Linked DNA regions of Caenorhabditis elegans. The protein of the gene in region 1 purifies or fractionates together with the protein of each later gene. This does not show direct contact. Each region holds a gene or a part of one and is shown on either strand. Other genes may lie near its edges. The genes, in order: Y71G12B.13, pygl-1 and W04C9.6.

Region 1 (9,081 bases):
TTTTTTTTCAAAAAAAAACATTTTTAATTAAAAATTAAAACGTTAAAAAATCGAAGTTGGAACTTTTTTTTTCTGTCTTTCATGTCAGAATTTGAACGTTTTTCCACAAAAATGAGCAAGTCAAAATTCACAATTTTTGGGTGGAAAAATTCGGATTAAAAAAAATTAAAAAATAAATAAAACTGGATTTTTCGAGAAAAAAAAAGTTCCAATTTTGATTTTTTAACGTTTTAAAAAAGGACAAAATTTGGCAATTTCTCTGAATTTTTTTAATTAAAAATGTTTTTTTTTGAAAAAAAAATTTCTAAAAAAATTCGGTTTTTTTTTTCAAAATGTGGTAAAATTCAGATTTCTTATTTAAAAAAAAACGTGAAAAGTTCGAAAATTAAGAAAAAATCGAATTTCAGGCAATCAGGCGGTTTGCCGGAAGTTTTCAAGTCCGAAAATTTGCCGCTTTGCCGGAAAAAAAATGAGAAAAAAATACAGATTTTTCAAAAAAAAAAGTCCCAAATTCGGTTTTTTAATTTTTAAAAATCCAAAAATTGGAGATTTCTCTGAAATTTTCTTCAAAATTGATTCAGAAAAATCGACAATTTCATAGATATTTTCAAATTGAAATTTACAACTTCCAAAAGTGCTCAAAAAACCGGAAAAAAAAATTAATAAAAACAAAAGAAATTCATTGGGATTTGGTGAGGGAGGTTTTTTCAACAAAACAAAAAATTACAATTAAAAAAAAAAAAGAAAGAGGCAGACAAAAAATGATCATTAAAAAAAGGTACCAGCATTAAGGAACTTTTTGCAAAAAAAATGGGGAAAAATTGAGAAATCGAGGGGGAAAAAGTGGAATTTCAAGAGGAAAAGGATGGAAAAAAATATTCCTAATTCACAATTTTTCAAGAAAAATTGAAATTTTTTAAATCGAATATTTTGGCGGGAATTTCAAATTTTCTGAGAAGACCTAATTTGTCGGCGGGAAATTTAATTAATTAAAAACTGTTGAAACGTTCGGCAAACGATTTTTTCCGGCAAATTGGCACTTTGCCGGAATGGAAAATTTCCGGCAATTTGGCAAACCGGCACATTGCCGGAATTGAAAAATTCCGGCAAACCGGAACATTGCCGGAATTGAAAAATTCCCGCAAACAGAAAAATTGCCGATTTGCCGGAATGGAAAATTTCCGGCAAATCGGTAATTTGCCGGAATTGAAAATTTCCGGCAAATCGGTTTTTTTTTTAAATTTTTCAGGGAATTTATTTTTTTCAGGGGAAAATTTTGCTAAAAATCCGCTATTTTGCCAATTTCCATCTAAAAATTCCAATTTTCAAGTAAAAAAGCGGGGGAAAAAACGAGAAGAATTAAAAATCAAAATTATCATTAACAAATTCCGAGTTCTCCTGAACATTAAAACCCGTAAAAACATCATCATCATCATTCTCAGGCTCCGCTTCATCACCCGAATGCTCTTGGGGCTCAAAATCGAGGTGTTGCTCCATAATCGGAGCTTCTTCCAATCCGAGAAGCATCGCCTCCAGTGGATCAGCCGGATCCAGTGGTGCCGCCTGATGATTCTGAGCATCAATTCTCTCGTAGAGATCGTCAAATTCAAAGCCCCAATGAGCATCTGGCTCCTGGTGCTCCTGGTACTCCGGCTCTTCGTCATAATTTCCCACATGGAATTGCACAGGCTCCGGCTCCTGCTGGAATTGAGAAGCTGGAGCTGGAGCCGGAGATGGTGTACTCGTCAAGGATCTTGCCGTTTCCTCGTCACGTCGAAGCTTCTTGTTCAGAATTCTCGCAGAAACCGATTGATGAATCGTCTGCTTACGGGTTTCCGCTTTCAGTTTCTCCGAGATTTTACGATCCTCTTCGATTTTTCGACGCTTCGCCAGGCTTGCCAGGCTGAAGTTGCGCTGAAAAATGAGGAAATTAGCGTCTTTTTTTTATTTATTTTATTAATCAAAAAAATATTATTTACGCGCAGCAAAATTTGGACCGAAATGAAAATAAAAAAGAAAAATTCAAGTTGTTCTGTGTAAAAAATCGGAAAAAATCAAATTTTTGTGGAAAAAAAAATTGGAAAATTCGACTTTTTTTGACTAAAAGATCGGAAAAATTCAAATATTTTGTAGGAAAATTGGCAATTTTGTAAAAAAAATCGAAAACTGCGTAATTTTAGGAAAAATCGGCATTTTTTGTATTTTTCAGCGAATTTCGAGAAAAATGTCTGAAAACAGAAACCCATAAATTTCGGAAATTAAATTTAAAATTTGATTTTTTTGAAATTGCTTTAAAGCATGCTTATGATACCACAATAACCGAATATATCATAATAAAAAAATTCAAAAAAAATTTTTTTTTCTAAATTTTATATGATTTTTGAAAATTGAAAAAATCTCAGTTTTCCCCCTAATTCCTATTTGAATTTCCGCCAATTGAACTCGTTCGTTGGAGCGCGCTTGCATTGTTTTCATTAATTTTTTAAAATTTATTTTCATTATTTCACTGATTTTCTTCATTTTTTGGGTGTTTTTAATCGGAAAATGAAAGAAACATACAGGAAAAATGCAAAATGTTTATTAAAAAGTAACTGAAAATGCCTAAAACTGTGAATAATACTTATTTCAGGCTCGTCATCGTCGGATCGTATAATTTCAGAGTTTTAGGCATTTTCAGTTACTTTTTAATAAACATTTTGCATTTTTCCCGTATGTTTCTTTCATTTTCCGATTAAAAACGCCCAAAAAATGAAGAAAATCAGTGAAATAATGAAAATAAATTTTTAAAAAATTAATGAAAATAATGCAAGCACACTCCATCGAACAAATTCAATTAGCGGAAATTCGAATCGGAATTAGGGGGAAAACTGTGATTTTTTCAATTTTCAAATATCATAAAAAATTTAGAAAATTTTTTTGCATTTGTTTTACCATGCTATTCGGTCATTATGACCCCATAGGCGCGTTTTAAAGCAATTTTTTCGAGAAAAAAAATTATTTTTTCATGTAGATTCTGCGAATTTTTGAATTTTGGCTAATTTGTGTAAAGTTTTGCAAAATCGTCGCAGGAAAATCAAATTTTTGGGTTTTTATCGAATTTTTTTGTTTTTTTATGCCAAATTTTTTAAAATTTTGCAAAATCTTCGCAGGATAATCAAATTTCTAGGTTTTTCTTCGTTTTTTCGGCCAAATTTTTCAAAAATTTCCATGATTTTCGTCATTTTTCCTCTTCTTCAATCCGTACCATAACATTGCCAACTTTCTCTCCGACAGCTTTCTTAATTTGTTGCAAATCAATTCCAACACTTTTCAGCAACTCATCCGCATTTCCACTTCTCGCCACCATTTTCTCTTCTACAGTGAAATTAATCATTCGACGTCGGGCAGTTTTCCAATCTTCACGAGTTATTGATTGTAGACAATTTTCAATGTCTTCTATCCGATAGGGAAGTCTAAAATTATCGATTTTTTGCCATTTGTTGAGCATTTCCAACCGTAAAGCCGCTCTTGAACGCTTATAGGTCATCGGAGTACGCTGGAAGTAGTGAGCATCGAAAAACTCCTGCATACGACGGAATAATTCGGATTCCTGAAAAAAAAAATCGATTTTTGGGAGATGTTAATGAAAATTTTTGCGTTTTTTTCGCAGTATTGAGCAAAAATTCGAAGGATTTCACCCAGAAAACCCAGAAAATCGCGATTTTTTTTTCTTCCAATTTTTTGATTATCGAAATTTCCGTTTAAAAATTCGAGAAAATTCGAATTATCGATTAAAAATCCAGGAAAAGTGTAATTTTCACTAAAAATTCGGGAAAATTCAAATTTCCAGTAAAAAAATCGGGAAAATTCAAATTTTCGCTCAAAAATACGGGAAACTTTGAAGAAATTCAAATTTTCATTCCAAAATTCGGCAAAACTGAAATTTTCACTAAAAAATTCGGGAAATTTCAAATTTTTGCTAAAAAAACTCGGAAAAACTCAAATTTTCACTAAAAAATTCGGGAAAATTCAAATTTTCTTTAAAAAGTTCGGGAAAAGTCAAATTTTTGCTAAAAAATCGGGAAAACGCAGATTTCCGTTGAAAACTTCGAGAAAATTCGAATTTTCAACTAAAAATCCAGGAAAATTCAAATTTTCACTAAAAAATTCGGGAAAATTCAGTCTTTTGGTAAACATTTCGAGAAAATTCAAATTTCCGTTGAAAACTTCGAGAAAATTCAAATTTCCGCTTAAAAATTCGAAAAAAACTCAACTTTTCGCTTAAAAACTCGGGTAAATTCAAATTTTCGTTAAAAAGTTCGGGAAAATTCAGATTTCCGTTGAAAACTTCGAGAAAATTCAAATTATCGATGAAAAATCCAGGAAAATTCAAGTTTTCACTAAAAAATTCGGGAAAATTCAAATTATCGATTAAAAATTTCGGAAAATTTAAATTTTCGCTTAAAAATCGGAAAAATTCAATTTTTCGCTTAAAAATTCGGGAAAATTCAGATTTCCTTTTAAAAATTCGAGAAAAATCAAATTTAGATTTAAAAATTCGGGAAAATTCAAATTTTCGTTAAAAAGTTCGGGAAAATTCAAATTTCCGTTTAAAACTTTGGGAAAGTTTAAATTTCAACTAAAAAGTCGGGAAAATTCAAATTTTCGCTAAAAAATTCGGAAATAATCAAATTTCCGTTTAAAAATCCAGGAAAATTCAAATTTCCGCTTAAAAATTCGGGAAAACTCAAATTTTTTTCAGCTCAAAAGTTCCAAATTTTCACCTCCATATTTATAATAGTATTCGACGCTTTCGAGTCGGCCGCAACTTTTTCTATCAACGAAGCCCACGATTTTCCAGAATCATTAAGCCGTCGCTTAATAGTCCTACACGGCCTGACGGCCTCTTCTTCTTCAATTTCCACATCATCAATACTCTGATTTTCAAGCTCAGCTTCTGCCGAGCAAGACGTTGAAGGGGTATTTGTATTATTAACAGTTTCGGAATGAAGACTTTCAGCTTTTAGCCTATTCTGACCACTGGATTTCTCAGAAATCGTAGTCGTCGTCGTCGTCGTCCCGTCCAACGAGTTTCTGGCGGCTCGATTTTCAGAATTTTCAGAATTTCCAGCCACTGATGAGCAACGGGAGACCGGTCGAGAGTTGGCGAACGTCAGGGGATACAGATATTGATATTTCTCGGGAAGCTTCTCAATGCGTGGCAGGGGAATGCATTTTTGACGCTTTTGGAAGGCAGTTTGGACGACATGATAGACGTGTGGAGGCATATCCATTGGGAATTGACATTTCTGCAAATAAAAAATAAATAAAAAATGATTAAAATCGGCAGTTTTAGTTTTTAAAAAAGTCGTAATTATGCACGCTCTCCTCAAAGCCGAATAATTATTAGAGCGCGCTTGCTGCGCTTCGCATTTCTGAATCCGCGGTATTTTGACTTTCCACTGAAAAAGCAGATATTTCAGATTTATCGAATTTTCTAGCTTTAAAAAAAATTTTTCTCCAGTTTTCGAACAAACCTTTTGTTAAACAGTGAAAATCGAATTTAAAATGACTAAAATGAACTTTTTTCGTCCACTGGCTGTGAAATGGTTTGAATTTGAAAAAATTAACGGGATTTTTCTTATTTTCTAAATATTTTTCTATTAAAATCGGTTTTAAAACATTTGTGACTTTTAGGGTCAAAAAAATGGGTTAAAACCGATTTTTAATAGAAAAATATTTAGAAAATAAGAAAAATCCCATTGATTTCTTCAAATTCAAACCATTTCACAACCAGTGGACGAAAAATTTCATTTTAGTCATTTTTCGATTTTCACTGTTTAACAAAAGGTTTGTTCGAAAGATGCATTTAAAAAATTTTAAAAGCTAAAAATTCGATAAATCTGAAATATCTGCTTTTTTCAGTGGAAAGTCAAATTACCGCGGATGCAGAAATGCGAAGCGCAGCAAGCGCGCTCTAATAATTCTCCGGCTTTGAGGAGAGCGTGATTATGAAATATTACTGAAAATTAATGTTTTTTAAAATCAATTTCCGGTGAACTTCCGATGATTTCGACGATTTTTCCGCCTCAAAATTACTCGATTTTCACAAAATTAACTAAAAATTGTCCGTTTTGTTGAATTTCAAGTTCAAAATTTGAAAATTCTGAGGAGACATTGCTTTAAAACATACCTATGGTACCACAATGACCAAATATCATAGTAAAATTTTTTTTAATGTTCTAAATTAAAAAAAAAATTTACTATGATATTTGGTCATTGTGGTACCATAGGCATGTTTTAAAGCAATTTCCCCACAGAATTTTCAAGTTTTGAACTTGAAATTCAATAAAACCGGAATTTTTTAGTTAATTTTGTGAAAATCCAGTGATTGAGGGGAGAAATCGTCGAAAACATCGGAAATTCACCGAAAATTGATATAAAAAACAATAATTTTCAGTTAAATTGCTATGAAAAGCTGATTTTCTCCGTTCATACGAGCCAAAACAACCTGAAATTCGATTTTTAGCTCGATTTTTGCCTGGTTTCCCAATATAAATTCAGTTTTTCATGAATTTCTACCTGAACAGCCTCACATATCCACCAAATATTATCGGATCCATTGGGTTCGGTGCTGATGAGCTCTGGCTTGAGCTGTTTCGTCTTACATCGCGGACACTTGAGCCATTCGCTTTTCATCTGAAATTAAATGAGTTTTTTGATGGAAAATTCGAAATTTTAAGGCTAGAAACGAGCACAAAATGAGCACACAAACGCTCAAACTTTGAAACTAACTGTTTTTTTTTCAATTTTCGGAAAATCGATGGGGGGACAGAAGACTGATGGATTTCGTGCGACGTCTCTCTCTCTCTTGCTCTTCTTTATCTTCTTTTGGTCTTTTCACTATGAAATTAGGTATAGTTTTTGAATGGTATCATTTGAAATGTGCGATCACATATCGGGCGGCAGAAAACCGCCTAATTCTCCTTTTCCAGTGCGGGTGGAAAGATCATCGCAAGGCGGTTTAGCCTTAGTGTGATCGCATATCATTACAAATTATCACTTACCACTCGGAGAGCAAAAGTTAATCAGTTTTTAAATCAAAAAAAAAATCAACTTACTAAGGCGGGAAGTGGTCCGGGTGGCATTATCCTTTTGAAAATTGTCTGAAAATTGCGATTGTTGCAGTGAAAGTGGCACAAAAATACGTAGAATTCGAAATTTGAGTTGAAAAATCGAAAAAATCACCGGAAAAGCTCGAAAAATCGATGAAAACGCGATAAATTGACTTAAAAATGTCTTCTTTTTTTCGAAAATGCTTCCCCGTAAATCGAATCGTGGTGAGACCCACCGCACGTGACGCATGACCGCGACGCGTCTAACGGTGAGGAAACCCAAGAAATTTCTCGATTTTTGCTGAAAAAGCCTGTTTTCGAGCGAAATAACTCAGATTTTCGGCGAAAAAAAAAACACAAATTTATTCGAGATCCAAACGTATCAAACAAGAAATTTGCTCAAAATAGCTCAAAAAAGGGAAAAATATTTGGAAAATAAATCGAAATCAAAAAAAAGTTATTTCGTCGATGTGGAGATGTAGAGCACATTGTTCCCGCGGATGAACGCATCGCCGTACTTGTTCTGAAGTTGTCCGTTGCTGTATTCTTCGGTTTGTTCGAGCGCGATGTTCATATATCTGAAAAATTAGATTTTTTCGTAATTTTTCTGGAAGAAAAATTAATTTTCAGGTGTTTTTAATCAGATTTTTTGATTTTTCCCAATCACTAACCCGTCGAGACATGCGAGAATGCCACGGTAGTCGACGCCAGAGTTGAGCTTCACCACAACCGGCTTTCCGATGACTTTCTTCAGGAATTCGGCGGGATTCTGTCGTTTGCTCATTTTCTAGAGTGCTGAAATTGAGAAAAAATATTACTTTCACGGGTTTTTAGAGTAAAAATATGTTAAAATCAAGAGAAAAATGCGTTAAAATTGCGATTTTGCTTCAAAAAAAATTATTTTCTACAGTGTCCGCAAACACCGTGACGCAAAAATGCAGACTTGCGAAAAAAATGTTTTTTTCGGATTAAATCGACTTATTTTTTGAGAATTCAACTCTAAATCTGCAATTTTCCGAGACAATTTAGAAAAAAGAAGGCTTCATTTATAGAAAACAAAAATAGTTGAAAGTGCACTGTGATCAGCCTGTGTGTGTGTGTAATTGGACAAAAAAAACTGTTTCCAGACGAAAAAATATTGAGTATAACACAAATATGAATTGATAGCTGCTTGGGAAGGGCAAAAGTGTACATATAAATGCATTGAGAAAAGGACTAGTTGAGTCGGATTTTGAAGATTTTTTGTTTGAAAGAAGCGCCAAGATTTCGTGGTATATTTGATATGAATTTGAATTTTTCTAGGTTGGAAAATTGAGAAAATTGAGAAAAAAAATGGGGAAAAAATTATAGAAAATTAAAAAAAATTGACTAATTTTCTCCTTGTCCCGAATCCTCGTCATCATCATTATAGTCCGAGCCGCATTCGTCCTCGTCCTCCTCCTCTTCATCGTCGTCATAGTCACACCCGAAATCGTCGTCTGAAAAAAATCGATATTTAATTGAAAATTTGGCAAAAATCCGGGTTTTTAACTGAAAAATCCAATTTTCTCGGGAATTTTACAACTAAATTTGCGAAAAATAGACTTTTTTTTGAGGTTTTTGAGGTCACGGGGTTCTGACCTTCCTCATTGAATTTTTCGCGCTCCATTGACAATCGCCCGCCGGAAAACGTGTGGGAAAGTCGTGTACTCCACACGGACAAATACATTTAGTTTTACAACTAAAATCGAGCCGCGGCGCGACACGCAACGCGCCGTAAATCTACCCCAGATATGGTGGCCTGGACTAGTTCGGCAAAAACTCTTCCATTTCAATTTATAAGGGAAGCCAGAAATCCGTGAATTCGTGCGATTTCTGGCAATTTACCTGAAAAATCGGCAATTTTTTTTGAAAAAAGTGTATAATTTTGCGGATATTTCGACTAAAAACTGACAATTTTTGAATTTTACCAAAAATAGCCAGTTTTAGTGCAAAAAACGCAAAATAT
Region 2 (11,065 bases), on another chromosome or scaffold:
AAAACGTTGAAAAAAAATTAGAAATTCAATTCAAAAGAAGAAATTTCAAGAAAATATAGAAAAAATCAAGAAAATTCAAGGAAAACTTCAAAAAAAAAGAGCGAAAATCGGAAAAAAGCTGAATTAAATAATTAAATTCGAAAATTAAAGGCACACACCATTTTCGGGACCACGATATCTCGGCACGAAAACAAAACCGTACCCTCGAATCCTAAATCGGGCCGAAAATCATTTTAATTCGAGGTTTTTTTTTCTGATTTTTCGAGTTTTCCTCACAAAATGAGAGTGGTTTGTCGTTGTTTCGCCGTCTCTGTCACCCGTTTGTGCTGTTCTATCGCTTGCCCGTTTTCTCTGCCGTCTCTTCAGCGCATGCCGGTGTGTGTGTGTGTGTGTGCGCGTCGCTCCTCCCATTTTCGTTGTTTTAGGCCTAAAATTTGAATATCTTTCTAGGATCTCAAGATGCTAATTTTTTATCGGCATTTTTGAACTTGTGTCTATGCGTTTCTCTCTACTTGTTCTCGCTTGTCACAGTTTTCAAATTTTATGTATTTATGCTTTTTTTCAGGTAATCATGACGGACGTCGAAAAACAGACGGAAATTCGCGAGAAGAAGGGCCGCAATGTGATGCGCGAGCTCAAGATCCAAAAGCTCTGTCTCAACATTTGTGTTGGAGAGTCTGGAGATCGTCTCACCCGTGCCGCTAAGGTATTCCAATATATTCTACAGTAATTCGTAAATTTTCGAAATATTTTCAGGTGCTCGAGCAGCTCACCGGACAAACCCCAGTGTTCTCCAAGGCCCGATACACCGTCAGAACTTTCGGAATTCGCAGAAACGAAAAGATTGCTGTTCATTGCACCGTTCGTGGACCAAAGGCTGAGGAAATCCTCGAGAAGGGACTCAAGGTCAAGGAATACGAGCTTTTCAAAGAGAACTTCTCTGACACTGGAAACTTCGGTTTCGGAGTTCAGGTTAGCTTAAAGTTGAAGTGTTCAAAAGTGATGATTATTTTGTTTCCAGGAGCACATTGATCTCGGAATCAAGTACGACCCAGGAATTGGAATCTACGGAATGGACTTCTACGTCGTTCTGAACCGCAACGGAGTTCGAGTTTCCAAGCGCAGACGTGCACCAGGACGCATTGGACCATCCCACCGTGTCGATAAGGAGGAGACAATCAAATGGTTCCAGCAAAAGTACGATGGAATCATTCTGCCACCAAAGCCAAAGGTCAAGAAGAACTTCTTCCGTCGTCGTTAAGTTTTTCTATTTTCTGAATAAACTGTTGTTATTAAAAATGAAATTGCTAATGTTTTGTTAAAGTTGTGAATCATAGTCTGATTGTCGTGGATCTGAACTTCAACTTCCTGGAATCAATAATTTTACGTTGCGAATGGTCTTCTGATGTAGAAAGTTCAGGATATTTATCCAGGAATTTTGAAAACTCATCGAAAAGGAGTTTGGTATTTTGCTAACGAGCTGGTCGTAGAGGTATCGAAACTTCTTTGAAGATCCTTCAGACAGCCATAATTTTTAATTAAATTTCAGCATTTGCAGATTCGAGTCAAAATTAAAAAAAAAAAGTTGATATTTTCAGTCAATTTATCATAAATATGCAGGGCAGACGTGCAAATAGACAATCTCAAAGTATGGCAACACATTCGGGGGAAGTACGATTATTGGACTGGGGGCAGAGAGGACAAAATCAATTTGATCTTGAAGATTCACAAGAATTATCGGGGGAGGGAAAGGCTTCTATAAAAATGCTATAAACTAAATGGGACGGAGAGGAGGGGAAGTTATGGCGATAATTAATTACAATGTTAGTGCATAGAAGAATTATTCGCTCTTCTCATTCTCATATGGTGCTGGAAGAGAGCTCTCGAACTGGTCGATTCCCCAGATTTCACGAGCGTATTCGGTGATTGTGCGATCTGTTGAGAACTTTCCGGTCGAGGCGATGTTGTAGAGGGCCATGCGAGACCACTTCTCTTGGTCGCGGAATGTAGCGGAGACCTGAAAATAATTTATTTTGATCAGTAAAAATTTGAATTAGTTGAATTTTTTGAGTTTTACCTTATCCTGGGCTTCAATGAAAGCGTCGAAATCGGCGCACACCATGAAACGATCATGATAGCGGAGCATGTTGGAGAGATCCTTGAGCTGATCTGGATCTTCTGGAGTGAACATGCCACCTTCGATTTGCTCGATGATCTGCTTGAGCATTGGGCTCTTGTCGATGAACTCCTGCGAAGAGTATCCGCGCTTTGTGAGCGCCTCAACCTCCTCGACGTTCATTCCGAAGATGAAGATGTTCTCGTCGCCCATCTCCTCGGCCATCTCAACGTTGGCTCCGTCGAGAGTTCCGATTGTGAGAGCTCCGTTCAACATGAACTTCATGTTTCCGGTTCCTGAAGCCTCGGTTCCGGCGGTCGAGATCTGTTCAGAGAGATCAGAAGCTGGAATGATCTTTTCAGCCATCGAGACACGGTAGTTCTCGAGGAAGATGACCTTCAAACGATCACCAACGATGGCATCATTGTTGACTTGTTCGGCGACGGCGGTGATCAAACGAATGATCTGCTTAGCCATATGGTATCCTGGAGCAGCTTTTCCTCCGTACAACACGGTACGCTTAACCATATCGATGTTCGGGTTCTCCTTGATACGATTGTAGAGAGCAATGACGTGGAGAATATTGAGAAGCTGTCTCTTGTACTCGTGGATTCTCTTCACATGCACATCGAACAACGAAGCGGCGTTCACGTTGACATTGTACTCGTCGCTCAAATACTGGGCGACTTGTTGCTTGTTCTCGAGCTTCACACGACGAATCGAATCGAGGAACCCGGCATCGTTGGCGTACTCCTTGAGCTTCTGAAGCTCGTCGAGATTGGTGATCCACGACTCGCCGATCTTCTCGACGATGAGGTCGGCGAGAGATGGGTTGGAGAGAAGAAGCCAGCGGCGTGGTGTGATTCCGTTCGTCTTGTTTTGGAAGCGATCCGGGTAGAACTCATAGAAGTCACGGAAGCTGGAAATGGATGATATTAATTTTTTAAAATGGTAATTTTGCAATTTGCGCGTAAGAAAAATTGGGCGGGCCGGGATTGCAATTTGCGGCGCGCGATTTAGCAACACCGCCGCACGATGTTTTTTCTCTTTCTGTCCGAATTTTCAATGACAAATTATCAATTTTTCGTGATTTTATCGAGTTCACATATCGAAATCTTTCAAAACATCATGCGAAAAACAGCCAAAATAAATTCGTGCGGCGGAGCTGCAAAATGATGCGTCGCCCATTGGTTCTAGCGCCAGGTTTCAGAGCATTTTCGCTTACGTGGAGCTCTTGAGAAGATCCGAGTGAAGAGCCGCGACTCCATTAATGGCATGAGAAGCCACAATGCACAAATGAGCCATATTGATGCGCTTCTCGCCGAACTGATCGGCCTCCTCGACAATCGACATACGACGCATACGGTCGAAATCTCCTGGGAATCTCTGCGAGATGGTGTTCATGAACTTCTGATTGATCTCGTAGATGATCTCCAAATGACGCGGCAACAAATTCTGCATAAGCGACACTGGCCAGCGCTCGAGGGCCTCTGGGAGCAAGGTGTGATTGGTGTAGGCGTAGGTCTTGATGCAAATGTCCCAGGCCTGATCCCAGGTGAGTCCCTCGACGTCGATGAGGAGACGGATCAACTCGGGAATTCCGATCGATGGATGAGTGTCGTTGAGCTGGATGGCCACCTTATCCGGGAAGGTCTCGAAGTTGACACGGACGGCCTCGCGGTTTCCGTAGATGGAGGACTTGAAGCGGCGGATGATGTCCTGGAGGGTGGCGGCGACGAGGAAGTATTGCTGCTTGAGACGGAGCTCCTTTCCGAGGAACATCTGAAAATGTGGGGAAATTGATTTTTTTTTTCTGCCAAAATCTAGCTCAAACATACGTTGTCATTCGGGTAGAGGACACGAGTGATGTTCTCGGACAAGTTACGATCCATCACAGCCTGCACGTAGTCTCCGTCGTTGAAGAACTTGAGGTGGAAATGATTTTCGGCTTTGGCGGACCACAAACGAAGCGTGTTGACGATGTTGTTCTTGTATCCGGGGACTGGTGTGTCGTATGGCATGGCAAACACAACTTGAGTGTCGATCCATTTCGATTTTCCCTGAAATAATATATTTTTTAATGAAAAATAAAAAAAGTAAGCGAAAAAAAGAAAAAAGGAATGGGCCGAACCGGGGATTGAACCCGGGACCTCTCGCACCCAAAGCGAGAATCATACCACTAGACCATTCGGCCACGATTAGATACGTGAAAGCTGGTGATGAAGAGATATCGAATCTTATTATTTCTCGCAATCAGCCAATTATCGATTATTGTGCATCTTGATTGCTTCCAAACACGATTTCCAAACATGGCCGAATGGTCTAGTGGTATGATTCTCGCTTTGGGTGCGAGAGGTCCCGGGTTCAATCCCCAGTTCGGCCCATTCCTTTTTTATTTTTTTAAATTTAATTTTCTCCAAAAAATCAAAACTCACATCCTCCTTCACAACTTTTCCATAAAAGTTGACCGGAAGCATGTACTCTGGACGAGCCTTCTCCCATGGATTTCCGAAGCGAAGCCAATCGTCTGGCTCCTCAATCTGCCATCCGTCACGAATAAGTTGCTTGAAGATTCCGTACTCGTAGCGAAGCCCGTATCCGTAAGCCGGAATACCCAGCGTGGCCATCGAGTCGAGGAAACACGCGGCGAGACGTCCGAGTCCTCCGTTTCCGAGCCCGGCGTCCTCTTCGATCTCCTGAAGCTCCTCAATGTCTAGACCGAGCTGGTAGAGCGCCTCGTCGACGGTCGCCTGAATTCCGAGGTTCATCATTGTGTTCGACAGCGTTCGCCCCATGTAGAACTCCAACGACAGATAGTAGACCCGCTTCGGATCCTTGTCATAGTAGTGTTGTTGAGTTCGTATCCAGCGAGACACGAGATGATCGCGGACAGTGTTGGCGAGCGCGAAGTAGTAGTCGCGATCGGTGGCCACGTTACGATCCTTGATGATCGAGAAGTGAAGGTGGCGATTGAACGCCTTCTTGATGTTCGACACGTTCTCCACTTGAGCGATTCCGCGCACGGAGATCTGCTTGCGACGATCGTGATCGTTGGTGATCATGCTGAACAGCTTCGGACTCGACGATGAGGCAGTCGATTCGGCAACCACGGGCTGCTGAAAATTGGAAATTGGTTTTTTTGGGAGAAAAAATGAGCGGAAAGTGGTGAAAATTATAACTTGTTCGGCTACTGTGATAAGAATGGTGGACAAACAAAAATTTCGAACACTGCAGGCAATGGCGAGTCAGGCCAGAAAACAAAATGTGTTGCGAGATAGTAGTCGACGCAGTACAAAGTCAACAGGAGGGGGGCAGTTCAGTGATCAGTCAACAATCAATATTGATAGCAGGGGCCGGCCCCGTGATTTCCAAGATGAAAGATTTTTGAAAAAAGTATGAAAGCCACGTGGATTTGCTATATTTTTCAAAAAAATCGCAAATTTCCGCAAAAACCTTTAGTTTTGCGAACTTTTCCGTGTCGCAGTTCGCAGAAACTAGCTTTTATTTGATTAACATCATTTATTGGGCATTTATCCAACGTTTTTTCATTGATCTAGGTGCATTTAAGCCGATAAGGGACCAAAAATGCCTCAATCAACGAAATAAGTGATGAAAATATGCAATAAAAGATGATAATCAAATAAAAGTTAGTCTCTGAGCACTGCGACACGGAAAAGCTGGCAAAACTGGGGATCTTAGCTAAAATTAGTAATTTTCTGCGAAGTTTTGATCCTATACAAGCAAGCATTCCTCCTTGAACCAAAAAAAAAATCGAAGAAAAAATATTTTCGCTGATCATTGAGGAGTGAAATGCATCGCTTCAAACTGATCAGGCTAAAACGTCGAATAATATCAGTGTTGACCGTGTCGGCGGTCAGTCAACATGCAGAAAACTACCGATAAACTGATAACGCGTAAGTGATAATAAAACAACAATCAGTAGACGACGACAGGATATTTCGGTGTATTTTTATCACCCGGTCGGCCCAAGAAAATCGAAAAAAAAATTAATGAAAGTGAGGGGCACTTTCTTCTGGGCTACGGAAGACTTTGTTCTTTGCTCACAGCCTTTTTTGTTTAGCCTGAAGCTTGAACTTTAAAGCTTTTCTACTTATGATTTTGTCAAAGAAAAGCATTTAATTGTCGCAAAACCGAATCTTCAAAGATTGTGCTGTCAACTCGAATTAATTAATTAAAATCTTGCGGAAATCTGTTCGAATATGGAAAAGACTATCGGTAGACATGGCCGCTTTGTGTTTGATAAACAATTCTTGTCACTGCCGATTTATCAATTCTTTTTCAACTGAGACGAGTGTGTGCACGTGAATGATCGATGCCATTGGAAATTGAGAAAATTTGAAAAAAAGTTCCGAAAACTTTCGGGGAGCTGCCACGCTTATGTGGAATCGAAAAAAGAGCATAGAGGCCCGAGCCATCTAAAAAAAATGGATGGGGAGAGGATGCGAAGGGGTTTGTGAGCGTGTGTGTAAAATGTGAGGAGAGGAAAACAACTCTGGGAGAAGCAGAGATGTAGAGAAAAATACATGTTGTGTGTGACCCCGACGGACACTGATAGGGAAACAGAGAGAGAGAGAAGCAGGCGGAGATTCAAATTTTTTGTCGAGAAGATGACGAGATTGAAGATTGAAAAATTGAAAAACCAAGAAATCAAGAGATTTTTTATTTTTTTTTTGGCGAGGAAAAATCTGTTTCTAGAAGCTTTAATATTAATTTCCCGACTTTCTTATCATCACCGCCTCCTGTTATGATATCAATGAGAAGACGGGCGGTGCAGCAGAACAACAAAACGGGTATTTTTCCGTTTTTTGAACACTGTATATGTACAGTGAGGACCAATCACCGCACAAACAACGCGACGAGCTGGAGGGGGCAAGGTGAACGATTCTTGAGGCGTATAGGTTCGATAGATTCCAATTTTCACCGTCGCTTATGAAATGAAATGACCAGTGAAACGAGAGCTGGGAGCCGAAGTCCTATAGAAGAGGAAGAGGATGGGCTGAAGAAAAGTGGCGGGAAAAGTAGACTGACATGTGTGTGTGTGTGTGTGTGTGCCGGCGAGAAGCGAAAAGGAGAAGCCTGAAGTGAAGCGTACGTGTTTTTCGGCAAGATTCAGCCGGCCGTTTCCCCATTTTGCACGCACACACTCACTTAAATCCCTGCCTGCTCGCTGTTTTTTTTCTTATGATTTTCTGGCTTATGAAGAGATGAAGCAGATGAAGCAGATGATGAAGAAGAAGCTTGATAGCATGAAATAATCAGCGAATTACTTACCGGGCGCACGTTGTTCCAGTTGAAGAATCCAAAACGAGCAGCAATATCCGACATTTTCGGTGTCACCGGCGGCTACGAAGGTGAACAGTGAAGAATGACTGATAAAAATTTGGAGAAGACAATCAAAAAATTGACGAAAACAAGTGGTTTATTGCACCGAAAATGCAGAAATTGGCGCCATGATTGAAAATTGGAAAACAAAATTTTCGCGCCAACAACACCGAGGGTACGGTAGGCGAGTACGCAAACACCGATGCGCACCGTACTCGCCGTAGCGGATTTGAATTTAAATTTAATTAAAAATAAATAAATAATTTAGTTTTTCTTGCTTGAAAAACAGTTTTTCCTAAAAATTGCAGATTATTTTAAAGAAAATTCATTTAAGATCAAATTTAGAACAAATTATATTGAAAACTTGCTTCAAAGCATAGAAAATTGGCCGTAACAACATAATATAACTGTTGAAAAAAAACTTTTTATCTCAATTTTTTAATGATTTTTTAAAAAGAATTTTGCAAGTATATAAGAAAAGTGGATGAATTAATTTCGAATTCCTGCGCAAATAAATGAAACGTTTTGACTTTTTCCCATTTTCTGTCAAAATTAATTGTTTTTGTTTTGATTTTTCGATTTAAAACACTTAAAACACCGTTCATCTAATTTTCAGATATTTTTTGCGTGAAGGAAAATTGATACCACTAGAAAAAAAATACCACTAGAAAAAAAAATTTGGCGTAAAAATCGATGATTTTACTTTTTTTCCGGAAAAAAAGTCTGAAAATTTGAAAGAAAAAGGTGATTCAAGCCAGAAATCGCTAAATTATCGTCAGAAATTCAAAAATAATTACCTTTTTTCGAAAAAATTGAAAAAAAAAATTATTTCAAATTATTTCATGAAACAACCTCTAGTTCAATAATAAAATATTATTAAAATGTTTAATACAATTAAAAAAATTCAATTTTACTGCTAAAAATTTATTTTTTTAAATAAATTTATATTTTAGATATTTCTGGAACACTACATCCTGAGAATGCGTATTGCGCAGCACAATTGACGCGCAAAATATTTCGTAGCGAAAACTACAGTAATCCTTCGAATGACTACTGTAGCGCTTGTGTCGATTTACGGGCTCGATTTTCGAAATGATTTTATTTTCGAACAGTGACAGTGATGACACAATCAAACCCGTAAATCGACACAAGCATTACAGTAGTCATTTAAAGAGTTACTGTAGTTTTCGCTACGAGATATTTTGCGCGTCAAATGTGTTGCGCAATACGCATTCTCAGGATTTAGTGTGTCCGTAATAAAATCTGAAGAAAAACTGCTAAAAAATGTCTTTTTTAATTAACAACATGTTGTTTAGTATTTTCTGGTATACTTAGTTATGCTGAACAGTTTTATGAAATAAAAAAGAATGACTCCATACCATTTTACCGTACTTTTGAATTTTTGAATATAACAGCTTTTGGTTAAGTTTTGAAATTTTTTAAAATAAACTTCCGTACAAGCTAGAGTATGTTGTTTGGTATTTTCTGGTATATTTGATTATGCTGAACAGTTTTATGAAATAAAAAATAATCGCTTCGGTAATTTAGACGCACATTTCTTAATTGAATTCGCATGGTTTAGAGTGTGATGAGGTAATTTTTCTGTGGAAAAATTTCCCTTATTTTTTGTAGATCAAGTCGCTATGGAACATCTTGACACCATGTTTGGAAATCGACGAAAATAGTTGAAATTTTTTGAAACTACGGTTTTACCGCCGATACCTAACGAGACCCAACTTGTAGGAGCGGAGCTTTGACGTTAGAGCGCGATTGCATTTTCGTGTGCAGCGCGGCCTATCCTCAATTTTTTTGCCTTTTTTAGAAAAAAAAAAGCGAACATTTCGCTGTTTCTTTTCGTCGCTCACAGTACACAAACACGGATGCTAGGCCAACTTGAACAGAATCAGGCACCCCCAGCAGGCTCAATAGCCCAACTGTGAACCAAGCCAGAGCCGGAAAAAAATAAATAGGGGGTCACAAGCGCACCGAGCAGAATATCCACGAAACATGTCCTAGAGCGAAATTTAAAAAAAAACAGTTTTTTCAATTTTGTAGAACTCACCAAAAATGTAAATTAAACAATGGCCATCGATAAGATGCCATTTGCGGTGGGGTCTTGAGCAGAATACAGTAACCGCCTAATATGTGAAATGATACAAGTACGGCGGTAATTGCGTGGGAGGTATAGGCCAGTCCTTGCCAACAACACAAGAACGTTTCGGATTTTGAACATTTGGAAAATTGGAGAGATAGAGACAATATTCTTGCAAGGAACTCATTGCCAGTCGGGTTGAAAAATAAGGAAGGATAGAATCAAAACAAATGTTAACTGAATTTCTTAGAATTCGATTGTTTCCCAAAACAAATTCTTGTTGGCAGCAGCTGGCATTTGTAGACACAAAACAAAACCTATTCCTTCAATTATACACGGATTTCTAGGCTCCCTCATATTTTGAAATAGAAGAGTTTGCCGAACTAGGCCATTTCGGTTCGGCCATATAGCTCAGCCACACGGTGCGCTGCGTGTCGCGTCGCGGCTCGATTTTAGTTGTAAAACTTAATTTATTTGTCCGTGTGGAGTACATGCGACTTTTCCGCGCGTTGGCCATTGTCAATGGAGCGCAAAAAGTTCAGTGAGGAAGCACTGGGGCTCTGGCCTTCCTCATTGAACTTTTCGCGCTCCATTGACAACTGGACAACGCATAGGAAAGTCGTGCACTCCACACGGACAAATACTTTTCATTTTACAACTAAAATCGAGCCGCAACGCGACACGCAACGCACCGTAAATCTACCGCCAGATATGGCCGAGCCAATATGGCCTAGTTCGGCAAACTCTTCCATTTCAATTTATGCGGCCAGCAAGAAATCCGTGCCCACGTGGTGTCAGGTAGTCACTTTATGGTTTGATCTACAAAAAATGTGGAAATTTTTCGCCCAAAAAAATGCGACTTCATGCAATATCAGTTGAGAAGTCTGCGTCTAAATTCCCGCGATTCTCGTAGATCGACGTAGATCAAACGGGGGGCACTCTGTCGCCACGTGCGGGCCCTCTTCAGCAATTATAGCCCTCCGATTTGTTCCGGATGTCTTTAGCCTCCGCAAATCATCAAACCAAACACCAACGCCCTTCAGAACATCACTTTGAGAACAAAAAATGATCCGATCATCAAAATGCGACAAAAAAGGGTGCTAGTTTATGAAAAATCTTCACTTTCTGCAAAGTTCTCAAGTGTAATTAAGGTGTGTGACGTCACTTGGCTGGGGGTATATAAGGATCATTCATCGAAACATCGAAACAAGTGATCTTAGAACATCATGCAATCCTCCCTTCTCATCCTTCTCGCCATCGTCTCTATTACTGCTGCATGTCCAGGCCTCTTCGGCATGGGAGGTGGAGGTGGGTGTGGATGTGGTGCACCGCCACCACCACCTGCCTGTGGATGTGGTGGAAGAAAGAAGAGGTACAGTGTGAGGCCTAGAAATGTCTAGAAGTGAGGTTTCAGATCCCTGCCAGAAAAACCAGAGTTCTTCGGAATCGCTGCAGGAGACCAGGATGTGATGTGCAACACCCCGGAGCTGAAGAAGATCATTCTGGAGGTATAT
Region 3 (9,624 bases), 1.2 Mb from region 1:
ACATTAAAAGTCACATTTTCCGAAGGAACCACGCGTGGAATGTAACGGTGCCGTTGTCGAATGGTTCCGGCTGAAAATTGATTAGTTATCATTGGAGCGCAATTGCATTTTTCTCGAAAAATCGATGTTTTCGTGTGATGCAGAATTATCGATTTTTTTTAACTTGGTGGCCGAGAAAATGGAAAACTCAGTCATCGACTTTTATTTACCTGGAACGAAAAAATTTAAAGTATGATCACGCGCTAAAGCCTCAATTATGCAAAATGCTTTAAAAACGGGTTTTGGAATTTTCTAGACCACTGGTGACGTCACTCCTTTTCCATTTATTATTCTAACTGTTTTCTAGGCCACTGATGTCGATATTTTTCCACTGCTGGGTTTCTAGATCGCCTGCGACGTCATTTCTCTTCCATACCCTGCTCTAGCGGGTTTCTAGGCCACTGGAGAAATTATTTTTCTTCCAAAAAAAAATCTAGGCCATTAATGACGTCATCATTTTTTCTTTTCTTTAGGATTACCTCAGGTTCCTCATATTTCAGATCCATCCTCGCCAATCGTTCATTCTCATGAACTTTTTCCACTTTTTCACTGCTCGTACTCTTCTCATCTACTGTATCCGCCACCACAACGTCCGGAGCAACAACTTGCTCATCAATATGCTGATATTCGGGCTCCTGGCGGTCCCAACGTGGTGTCTCTGGTGCAGTTTCATATTGATTTTGCTGCTTCTCCAGGAGGTTCTGTATTGAACTGATCGCTGAGGAGGATCCAACGATCGGAGGCATCGGAGGCGGCAGAGGAGCCATAGATGGAGTCTGAGAAGCCATCATTTGGAGTTGGGGGTAATTCCTTTGTTGGGACATCTGTGGGGACATTTGTGGGGACATTTGAGGGGACGGGGACATTTGGAATACCATCGGAGGCATTGGAGGTGGTGGGGGTGCCGGAGCCATTCGTATCATTGGAGCCATCACGTAAGATGGTGGAGATGGTGGGAGACTGGAATTTTTTTTTTGAATTTTTTTTCATAACACGGGCTTCTGGCCTTCCTCATTGCACTTTTCGCGCTCCGATGATAATCGCCTGCCGGACGACGCGTGGAAAAGTGGTGTACTCCCCACGGACAAATACATTTAGTTTTCAACTGAAAACCGAGCCGCGACGCGACACGCTACGCTCCGTAAATGGCCTAATTTCTTTTTTTTAATCTTGAGTTAAAGTTTAATTTTAATTATTTCTACAGAATTGAATGGCTGGGAATGTGCCACGTGGCCGAGAATTCTCCTGCGTGGCCTAGAAAATTCAAAAAAATATTTTTTGGTGGTTTTGATTACAAAATAAAGGATTTATACGGATAAAAACCTATTTTAAAAGCCGTGAAAAAAATCATATCAACCACTGCCTAAAAGATTGAAATTTTTATGATGGCCGAGAATTCTCAAGTGTGGCCTAGGAAAAATCAAGGCTTTTGAAAATTTGCTCATTTCGAAAATTAAAAAAAACAACTCAATTGATAGTAAATTTTAAAATTAAAAATTATTTTTCTGGTTTTTTTTTCTCAATTTTTGCAAAATCAAAATTATAATCAATTTTTAATCCAGAATTCGTCAAGTGGCCTAGAATTCTACTGCGTGGCCTAGAAAATTCCACCAAAATTTAAATTTTCCAAATTGTAAAAATGCTCCAAAAAGTTGAATGGTGGCCGAGGTTTTTCGTTTTTCACTTTTCACAGCTACGGAAAAAAACTCGGCCACCAATAGTTTTTCCTAGGCCATGTTTCAAATGCCCTATTTCTATGTTAATTACAGTATTTTCTAGACAAGATTTTAAAAAAACTCACGAATAGCACATGGAGCTCTGACACTTGCTCCCACCAATACAAAATTCCGAATTTTTTACAAAAAACTGCAAAACTATAAGAATTTGTGGTAGAAATTGGGGCATTTACGTAATAATAATAATAGAAAAATGTCCGCAAATTTTTTTTCATAAATTTCATAGGGAGGAGGTAAGCTTCAGCTAGAAGCCATTCAATTTTATTGGGGCGCCGAAAATCTTCGGAACACTTTTACAATTTATACAGTAGTGTACAACTTTTACAACTTAATAATATCTTCAATACTTCCAGAATATTCTTCTTTTTCCTCCTCAATTGCCACGTCATCATCTTGTAATCTGGTCCATTTTGCTGGCGAGGCGTCGGCAAACAGGCAGAATATAGTATTTACGAAGAGAAGTAAGCCCGCATGCGCCAGGAAACAATTACGCCAGTCTGTGAATCTGAAAAAAATAATCTTGTCTTTTAGGGGACCTACGCCTGCCTGCCTACGTCTGCCTTGCAGGGGACCTTTGCCTACCTACTTGACTACCTTCAAGTGAGACCTATGCTGGTTTGCCTGCATTTTTGTCAGTGCCTTCTAGGCCTATGCCTACCTTACAAACTATGTAGGTCAACTGCCTGCTTTCAAGGTGGCCTAGGTCAGCCTACATGCTATCTACGTCTACCCCAATGTACCCTGTGCCTATCTACCTGCTTTTAATGCTATCTGCCTTTTCGATAGTCTTTTAGGGAATCTACGCCGGTCCAGCTCACATAGGTTATCTATGCCTATGCCTTCCTGCCTGCCTCCAAAGTGACCTACGCTTACCGTGTTTTTTTTTCTAGACCGTATATACCTACATGCCTGCCTTTAAGTTTACCTATGCCTGCCTGCATTCCTCATGCCTGCGTGCCTACATGAATACCCTAAAAACTCACGTATCATCAGTAACAATCATATTGACGAAAAACGGTTCGATGAATATCGTGCAAGCCCAGATGTTCATGATCTGGAAGAGAAATCGTTGGCCTAAAAATTTTCTCGGCCACCCCCTTACCTGCTGCATTGCGAAATAGGCGTACTGCTGGGAGTGCAACGTGGCACACTTGTTGAATCCCGCCGTATTGCACCCCATCACACTTTCGGCGCAAATCTGGAATGATGGAAGAGAATAGGAAAACTAGGCCATGGATGTATGTGCGCTATGTTGATAATCGGTTATTTTCAACGTGGATTATCAATTGAGCGCACTTGTCCCACTGGAAGAGTTTTCCTATCTAGGCCACCACCACCACCCACTCACCATTATAATAATAGCCAGCAAGTGTTTTTCCTGTGGAATAAATGCTAGAACGATGAAAAAAACGGCGGCCACGGCCAGAGCGATTGTGTTGAAAATTTTAGTTTTCAGAGTTTCTGAGATGAATCTGGAATATTGATTTTTGGTGGCCGTAGAGAGGAAAAACTCGGCCACTGATTTTTTTCACAATTATAAAATTATTTTTCCAGGAAAAACCCCCGAAAAACTCACTTAATATAATCACTAATAATTCCCGACGATAATTTCGTAAAAAATTGAAAAATAATGGGTAAGGCGGCCAAAAAACCGGACGAAAGTACGTCATAGTTCAAATAATTTTTCATATATTGCGGATTGAATTGGGATACCAATTGAACTGTTATCAAATCTCCAAACGATGCGATCCAACAAGCCCACAGGCTTAAACTTGTCAGAATATGACGGAATGGAAGATTTTTTGGCCGGGATACCTGCAAAACGAAAAAGTAACGGGCTTCGAATTTCCCCCCCCATGTTTTCAAATGGAAGAGGTGGCCGTGAATAAAGCTAACCTCGACCGGGGGTCGCGACTCGCGACAAACGGGAAAACTCAAAGAAATTTCGTACTGTCGCTACTTTTTTTGAGTTTTCCTGTTTGTCGCAGGTCGCGACCCCCGGTCGAGGTTCGCTTTTTTCACGGCCACCTCTTCCATTTGAAAACATGGGGGAAATTCGAAGCCCGTGAAAAGTTAGGCCATGCAATGCGATGTGGTGGCCGAGGTTTTGAAAACTCGGTTACTCTCATGTAAAAAATCTTGAAGTTGAAGCAAATTTGCGTACATGAAACCCATTTACCTTGCTAGCAGTTTTAGAAAAATTTGGGATTTTCTCATACTAATGAGGGAACGTCTTAATTGTCGACAAATTGCGTACCCCGAGGAACCCACTAATTCAGTCCTAGGTTTAGGCATAGGCTAAGGCATAGGCTTAGGCGTAGGCCTAGGCTTAGGCTTAGGCTTACACGTGGTGTCAGAGTGCCTCATTTCGGCTTGATCTACGTAGATCTACAAAAAATGCGGGGGAAGAGCCGCAGAGTTTTCTACTGATTTCGCATGGTTAAGAGTGTGCTGACGTCACATTTTTTGGGGCAAAAATTCCCGCATTTTTGGTAGATCAAACCGTAATAGCACAGCCAGGCACCACGTGCGCTTAGGCTTGGGCTTTCCGTAGTCCTTCGGGCGCGTTTTTCTCAAAAATGATACGTGGTACAATTTCAGGTTTTTTTCCGCTCCAAAATCTAGTTATAATTTGTGTCCGGTAGAGCGCGTTTGCACTCACTTTCTTTCCCGATTTCCCTTCTCGAATCCTCTCCAATTCCTTCTCGCCAACCCAACTGTGCTCACTCGGCGAGCACTTGAAAAATAGGAAAAACAGCGAAAAAGTGACCAACGATACACCGGCGTGCACATAGTAAACCGACGTCCATCCACCAGACGAAGAGCATAACCATCCCGAAACTGGCATTGTAAATATATTTGAAAGTTGTGTATTTCCGGTTAATAGGCCAATGAATACTCCGTGCTCGTATGGGGTCGCCCAATTTGCTGTAATTGAGCCAGCGAGGGGAAATGTGGCTGAAAATGCCATTCCTTGACAAATACGGGCGGCCACAAACCATCCGTAGCCAATGGTACTTGCCAACGGGATAAGGGCTGTTGAAACTGGAAAAATTGAGTGCAATACATCATATTTGACGCGCAATTTTAAAATTTAAAAAATGGAAACGCGCTCTAATGATGCTTGGTGTACTCCTCTCGGACAATAAATGTCAATAATTTTTGAAAAATCGATAATTTTTTTTTAATTTCAGAAAAATTCGTGAAATCTGTTTTATTTTGCGCGTAAAATATGATTCTTAAATACTTAATTCAGTATTTTACGCACGTGGTATCAGAGTGTCTCATTTAGGCTTGATCTACGTAGATCTACAAAAAATGCGGGAGAAGAGACGCAGAGTTCTCAACTGATTTCGTATGGTTAAGAACGTGCTGACGTCACATATTTTCGGGCAAATAATTCCCGCATTTTTTGTAGATCAAACCGTGATGGGACAGCCTGACACCACGTGCTTACGCGGAATTTTTCACAATTTTTTGTGCTTCATGCACCATGTTTTTGTTTCGAAAAATCAGATTATTGTTTTGCGCGTCAAATTCAACGCCCACTGTGCAATACACCATATTTGACGATCAATTTCAAAAATTTTGTATGCTTTCGATGCATGCTTTTTGGGGTACTGTAGCTTTGAAAATACGCATGCACTGGATCTGACGACAAAATGCACAGTTTTTATAAAATTAGTCTATAGAAATTAGTCAGTTTTCTCGAAACAAATAAAAACTACAGAAAACTCGGCCACCGATATTTTTTTTTTTCGCGGCCACGATTGACGTCATACCTCCCGAAATAATTCCGGCGACAATGAAGACAGGTTTATGCGGCAAATGTTGAAAAGAAATGGAAAATGGAATCGAGGCGGCAAGACTTCCAATAGCCACACACGATTGAAGAAAATTCGACTCTGATTTGGTATAGTTCACTGAAAAAATCAACTATTTTGGCGGCCGCCAATGGAAAAACTCGGCCACCGAATTAAAAAAAAAACCTTTTGAAGTTGAAGTACTATTATCATCTTGCATACAAATTTTTGTAAAATTATAAGTATTCATATTTGAAAGAATCGAGGTCAAACACAGTGTGGCACATATTAAAATCTGCAAAAAAATCGTGAAAATTCAATTTTCCGGGGGTTTTGAGTTCAAAAAGTACCAGAAATCGGACAGGAACCGGCGAGTTGACCATGGTGCATCAGAAACCGGAATTTTAAATAAGTAAAAAAATTTATGATGCTCGTGGTGATAACGAAAAGTGCAGTGATCAATTTAAGGGAAATACTGCTGGGGGATTAAACGTTGACACTGTCAACTTGATAGTGTTAATTTGATCAATGCTTTGTACTTGTTTTTTGCAGGAAAAATTCTTTGAAAATTGCAAGACTATAGTATAGTCTGAAAATTTGATGAAATCTAAAACTTTAATAAATACCGTTAATTATCATTATTTTTATGAAATTTTAATATAATCTACTTAAAATTTAATTTTCTAGGCATCTGTGAGCTTAAATTTTCGATTATCCCTCGCCAAATTAAAGATTTGCAGACTTTTAAGCTTATAAGCTTATTTCAGTGAGAGAGAGCATTGTGAGAAGAGAAACGCAGACGAGGCTGGCGCGTTTCTCGTGCTCTGACGCGAGTCTCGATTTGCTTGCGCATTTCTCGTGCGCGCGACGTTCATTTTATTTTTCCGATTTTTTTTCAGTTTTTCTGAACTTTTCTTCTTGAATTTGTGATTTTTTATTTATTTTTCACGTCTTGTTGCAAAATAACTGATTTTTCACACAAAATATTCGAATTTTCAGGTCGGCAACATGGGATTCTTGTGGAAAACTGCAAAACTCGGAATTAAAGTTGGACTCGTCGCCGGCGCCGTCAAACTGTCAATCGATAACGATATTTGGTCGACTAACAATGTTAAAGTATTAGTTTTCCCCCGTTTTTCCACGAAAATTTTCATTTTCAGGGCAGCGAACTGTATCAAAAGCTTAAAAAGTACATTCTTCCCGGCACCGTCGTCTTTCCAGAGCAGGTTTTATCGATTTTTTCTCTGAAAATGCAATTTTTTTCTTATTTTCAGCTCCCAACAGTCGAAGATGTGCAGCTGAAGGCCGGTGGAAAGTGGAACAGTGCTGTTGACTCGGTAGGCTGCATTTTTGAGAGGAAACACGGAAAAATTGCTGCGAAAGTTGGAAAAAAGTCCTGGAAAATGGAGATTTGGCGCCGAACGTTCAAGAAATTCCATAATTTCAAAAATCTATCTGAAAAATTGAAAAATATAAATTTTCAGTCATTTTTAGTCAAATTTCAGAGCTAAACGTCGAAAAAAGTGCCTAAAACTAGGAAAAATATGACAAAAAGACACAAATTTTGGAGAAAATTGCTGAAAATAATGCAAAACACTTTTTTTCACAAAAAGCGAAATTCAAAAAAAATTCCACGTCAAAAATTAACCAAATGCAAGTACGCTCCATCGCACTTTTTTCCAATTTCTGACTCGAAAAGTCTTAAACTTCTGGTTTTGTAGGAAAGATAATGCAAAACGCAATTTTTAGTCCAAAATTCAGAGAAAATTCTGAAATTGTTTTTAAAAAAAATGCAAGCACACTCCATGGCACTTTTTTTTCAAAATTTCGCGTAGAAAATTACAGACATTAGCAAAATTCCGACGATTTCGCTGCGAGACCAGAAATATTGTAGGAAATTCAAACATTATCCGAAAATAATGCAAACGCGCTCTATCGCACTTTTCTCCAAGTTCCCACTCAAAAAGCATAGAAAATACCTGAAATTGCCGTTTTTTTTCACCGGAATTTCAAATTTACGCGATTTCGCTGCGAGACCCAAGCTAGTGCAGTGGAGCGCATTTCCAACAATTTCAAACTCAATTTTTTTCAGGTATTCACCACAATCGAGAACGTCCCATCAAGCGTGAACACAGTGGCCAATCGACTCATCAATAATAAATAAATTCCCCATAAAAATTATCGATTTATCGATTTTCCCCCCGAATCCTCGTGTATTCCTTCGTTAGAATGTACTTTTTCCCTCCTCATTTTCTAGAAGTATTTGTGTGTGTGCTCTATGAAAAAATTTGCAATTTTTGACTTTAAACGGACGGTGCATTATATTATTTTATCAGTTCCCATCGTTGATCAATTTTCTCCACTGATTATCAATTCACTGATAAGCTCACACTGCCTGCCCAACTCAATTCATCGCAACTTCTTCTCCCTGCTTTTTTTTGCCATGAATTCGACGGTGGCTTCCCGTTTCTCATGGGGACTCATTCTGGCGTCGATCGATTTTTTGGCGTGCCTACTGTTCGCCTGCCTGCATGATGGAACTTTCAAATTCGCGAATTTTACTTCGCAATTTGGCGATTTTTCGTTTTTTACGAGGTTCGATTGATTGGTGGCCGAGTTAATTTTAGGCCACGAAAAATGAAAATTGAAGCCGAGTGTCATTTTCGCTGGAATTCTAATTTTCAGTGTGTAAAAATATAGAAAACTGCAAAAAATTTTGAATTCCCGCCAAAAACTAACGTTACGAGACCCAAGTACAGTGGAGCGCAGTTGCAAAAAAAAATTTTTAATGATTTTTTGCAACTACGCTCCACAGTCCTTGGGTCTCACAACGTTGAAACTAAAATTTTGGAATTTCTCCCATAACTTCTTATAATAACGATATTCGGTGGTCTCGACACGACATATTTTCATTAAATAAAACGGGTGTGCGCCTTTAAAGAGTACTGCAGTTTCAAACTTTAGTTGCTAAGCGTATTTTCAACAAAGCAACGAAAATTTGAACTTACAGTACTCTTTAAAGGCGCACGCCCGTTTTTATTAAAACAAAAACTTGTCGTGTCGAGACCGGGCACCGTAGTTTTGACGCTAAAAATAAGATTTATGAAAAAGCGGGTTTCCAGAAAATTTCACTTTTCAAACTTTGATGAAAATTTGAAGTTTCCAGCCAAAATCGCTGCGAGACAGTGGAACGAGTGCAGTAGAGCGAAATTGCTGTAAAATTTTGAAAAAAAAGTGAGAAATTTAAAAACACGGATTTCTGGCCTCCCCCGTAAATTGAAATGGAAGAGTTTGCCGAACTAGGCCACTTTGGCTCGCCCATATCTGGGGTAGATTTACGGCGCGTTGCGTGTCGCGACGCGATTTTAGTTGGAAAACTAAATGTTTTTGCCCGTGTGGAGTACACGACTTTCCCACGTGTTGTCCTCTAGGTGATTGTCAATGGAGCGCAAAAAATCCAATGAGGAAGGCCAGAACCCCGTGAAAAAGTACGCGTTTTTGAAGCAATTCATCGAAAGAAGACAGTAAAAAAAAAGTCAAAAATTCAAATTTCCAATAGAAAAACCACCAAACCCAACAATTTTTCCAGCACAATCGACCTATTCTTGCTGCAATTTTTCCGTTTTGCACTATGGATGGTGCCGGCGGCAATCCACGTGGCCAACAAGGCGGACACGTTGACAATGTGGAAAGAGGTCGGTGGCCGCGTGGCCTAGAAATCCCGAAAATTTCAAATTTTCAGCCAATTTTCTGCTCGGCACTGCTCATCTGCGCGGCGAGCCCCACAAAATTGCTCCTCCTCACAGAAAAGCTGAAGCCCGATGAGTTCCTCACTTTCGGCGACACTGCCTTCCTTGTCTGGAATTTCATTTCCGCGATCATTTTGAACTCCTCGTGGACAAGATACTTCTCGCGAACTCCGTCTTCATATATAATTCTGGAGGATGAGGATGTAAGTGCGCTCCGCTGAGAAAATGTTTTGATCACCCCCACGATTTTCAGCTCGAGGTGGCTCCAAAACAAACGTTTGAGCTTATTTTCCGCCT

Evidence for each region.
Region 2: the proteins of Y71G12B.13 (region 1) and pygl-1 fractionate together in Caenorhabditis elegans (co-fractionation; one large-scale study listed by BioGRID). This does not show direct contact.
Region 3: the proteins of Y71G12B.13 (region 1) and W04C9.6 fractionate together in Caenorhabditis elegans (co-fractionation; one large-scale study listed by BioGRID). This does not show direct contact.

What each region holds. Positions count from the first base shown.
Region 1 is NC_003279.8:1,700,169-1,709,249, reverse strand, and holds Y71G12B.13 (RING-type domain-containing protein), read right to left. Parts: upstream 7,146-9,081; 5' UTR 7,128-7,145; coding exon 7,101-7,127; intron 6,679-7,100; coding exon 6,562-6,678; intron 5,289-6,561; coding exon 4,764-5,288; intron 3,590-4,763; coding exon 3,495-3,589; intron 3,453-3,494; coding exon 3,245-3,452; intron 1,915-3,244; coding exon 1,360-1,914; 3' UTR 697-1,359; downstream 1-696. Other genes in the region: lsm-6 (U6 snRNA-associated Sm-like protein LSm6), read right to left, coding at 7,552-7,672, 7,766-7,878; ubc-3 (UBC core domain-containing protein), read right to left, coding at 8,463-8,572.
Region 2 is NC_003283.11:3,575,565-3,586,629, reverse strand, and holds pygl-1 (Alpha-1,4 glucan phosphorylase), read right to left. Parts: upstream 7,489-11,065; 5' UTR 7,463-7,488; coding exon 7,409-7,462; intron 5,244-7,408; exon of another isoform or gene 5,233-5,243; coding exon 4,552-5,232; intron 4,500-4,551; exon of another isoform or gene 4,428-4,499; intron 4,311-4,427; exon of another isoform or gene 4,239-4,310; intron 4,177-4,238; coding exon 3,955-4,176; intron 3,899-3,954; coding exon 3,342-3,898; intron 3,036-3,341; coding exon 2,078-3,035; intron 2,018-2,077; coding exon 1,841-2,017; 3' UTR 1,588-1,840; downstream 1-1,587. Other genes in the region: rpl-11.1 (Large ribosomal subunit protein uL5A), read left to right, coding at 572-706, 757-972, 1,022-1,261; grl-27 (Ground-like domain-containing protein), read left to right, coding at 10,778-10,923, 10,966-11,059.
Region 3 is NC_003279.8:482,030-491,653, forward strand, and holds W04C9.6 (MFS domain-containing protein), read right to left. Parts: upstream 6,364-9,624; 5' UTR 5,962-6,363; coding exon 5,929-5,961; intron 5,874-5,928; coding exon 5,765-5,873; intron 5,699-5,764; coding exon 5,558-5,698; intron 4,821-5,557; coding exon 4,438-4,820; intron 3,591-4,437; coding exon 3,352-3,590; intron 3,248-3,351; coding exon 3,124-3,247; intron 2,974-3,123; coding exon 2,878-2,973; intron 2,830-2,877; coding exon 2,759-2,829; intron 2,281-2,758; coding exon 2,097-2,280; 3' UTR 2,010-2,096; downstream 1-2,009. Other genes in the region: W04C9.9 (Zinc finger protein), read right to left, coding at 11-70, 519-999, 1,841-1,851; W04C9.2 (MICOS complex subunit MIC13), read left to right, coding at 6,587-6,694, 6,739-6,804, 6,853-6,915, 7,671-7,742; haf-4 (ABC-type antigen peptide transporter), read left to right, coding at 8,022-8,173, 9,168-9,273, 9,321-9,530, 9,581-9,624.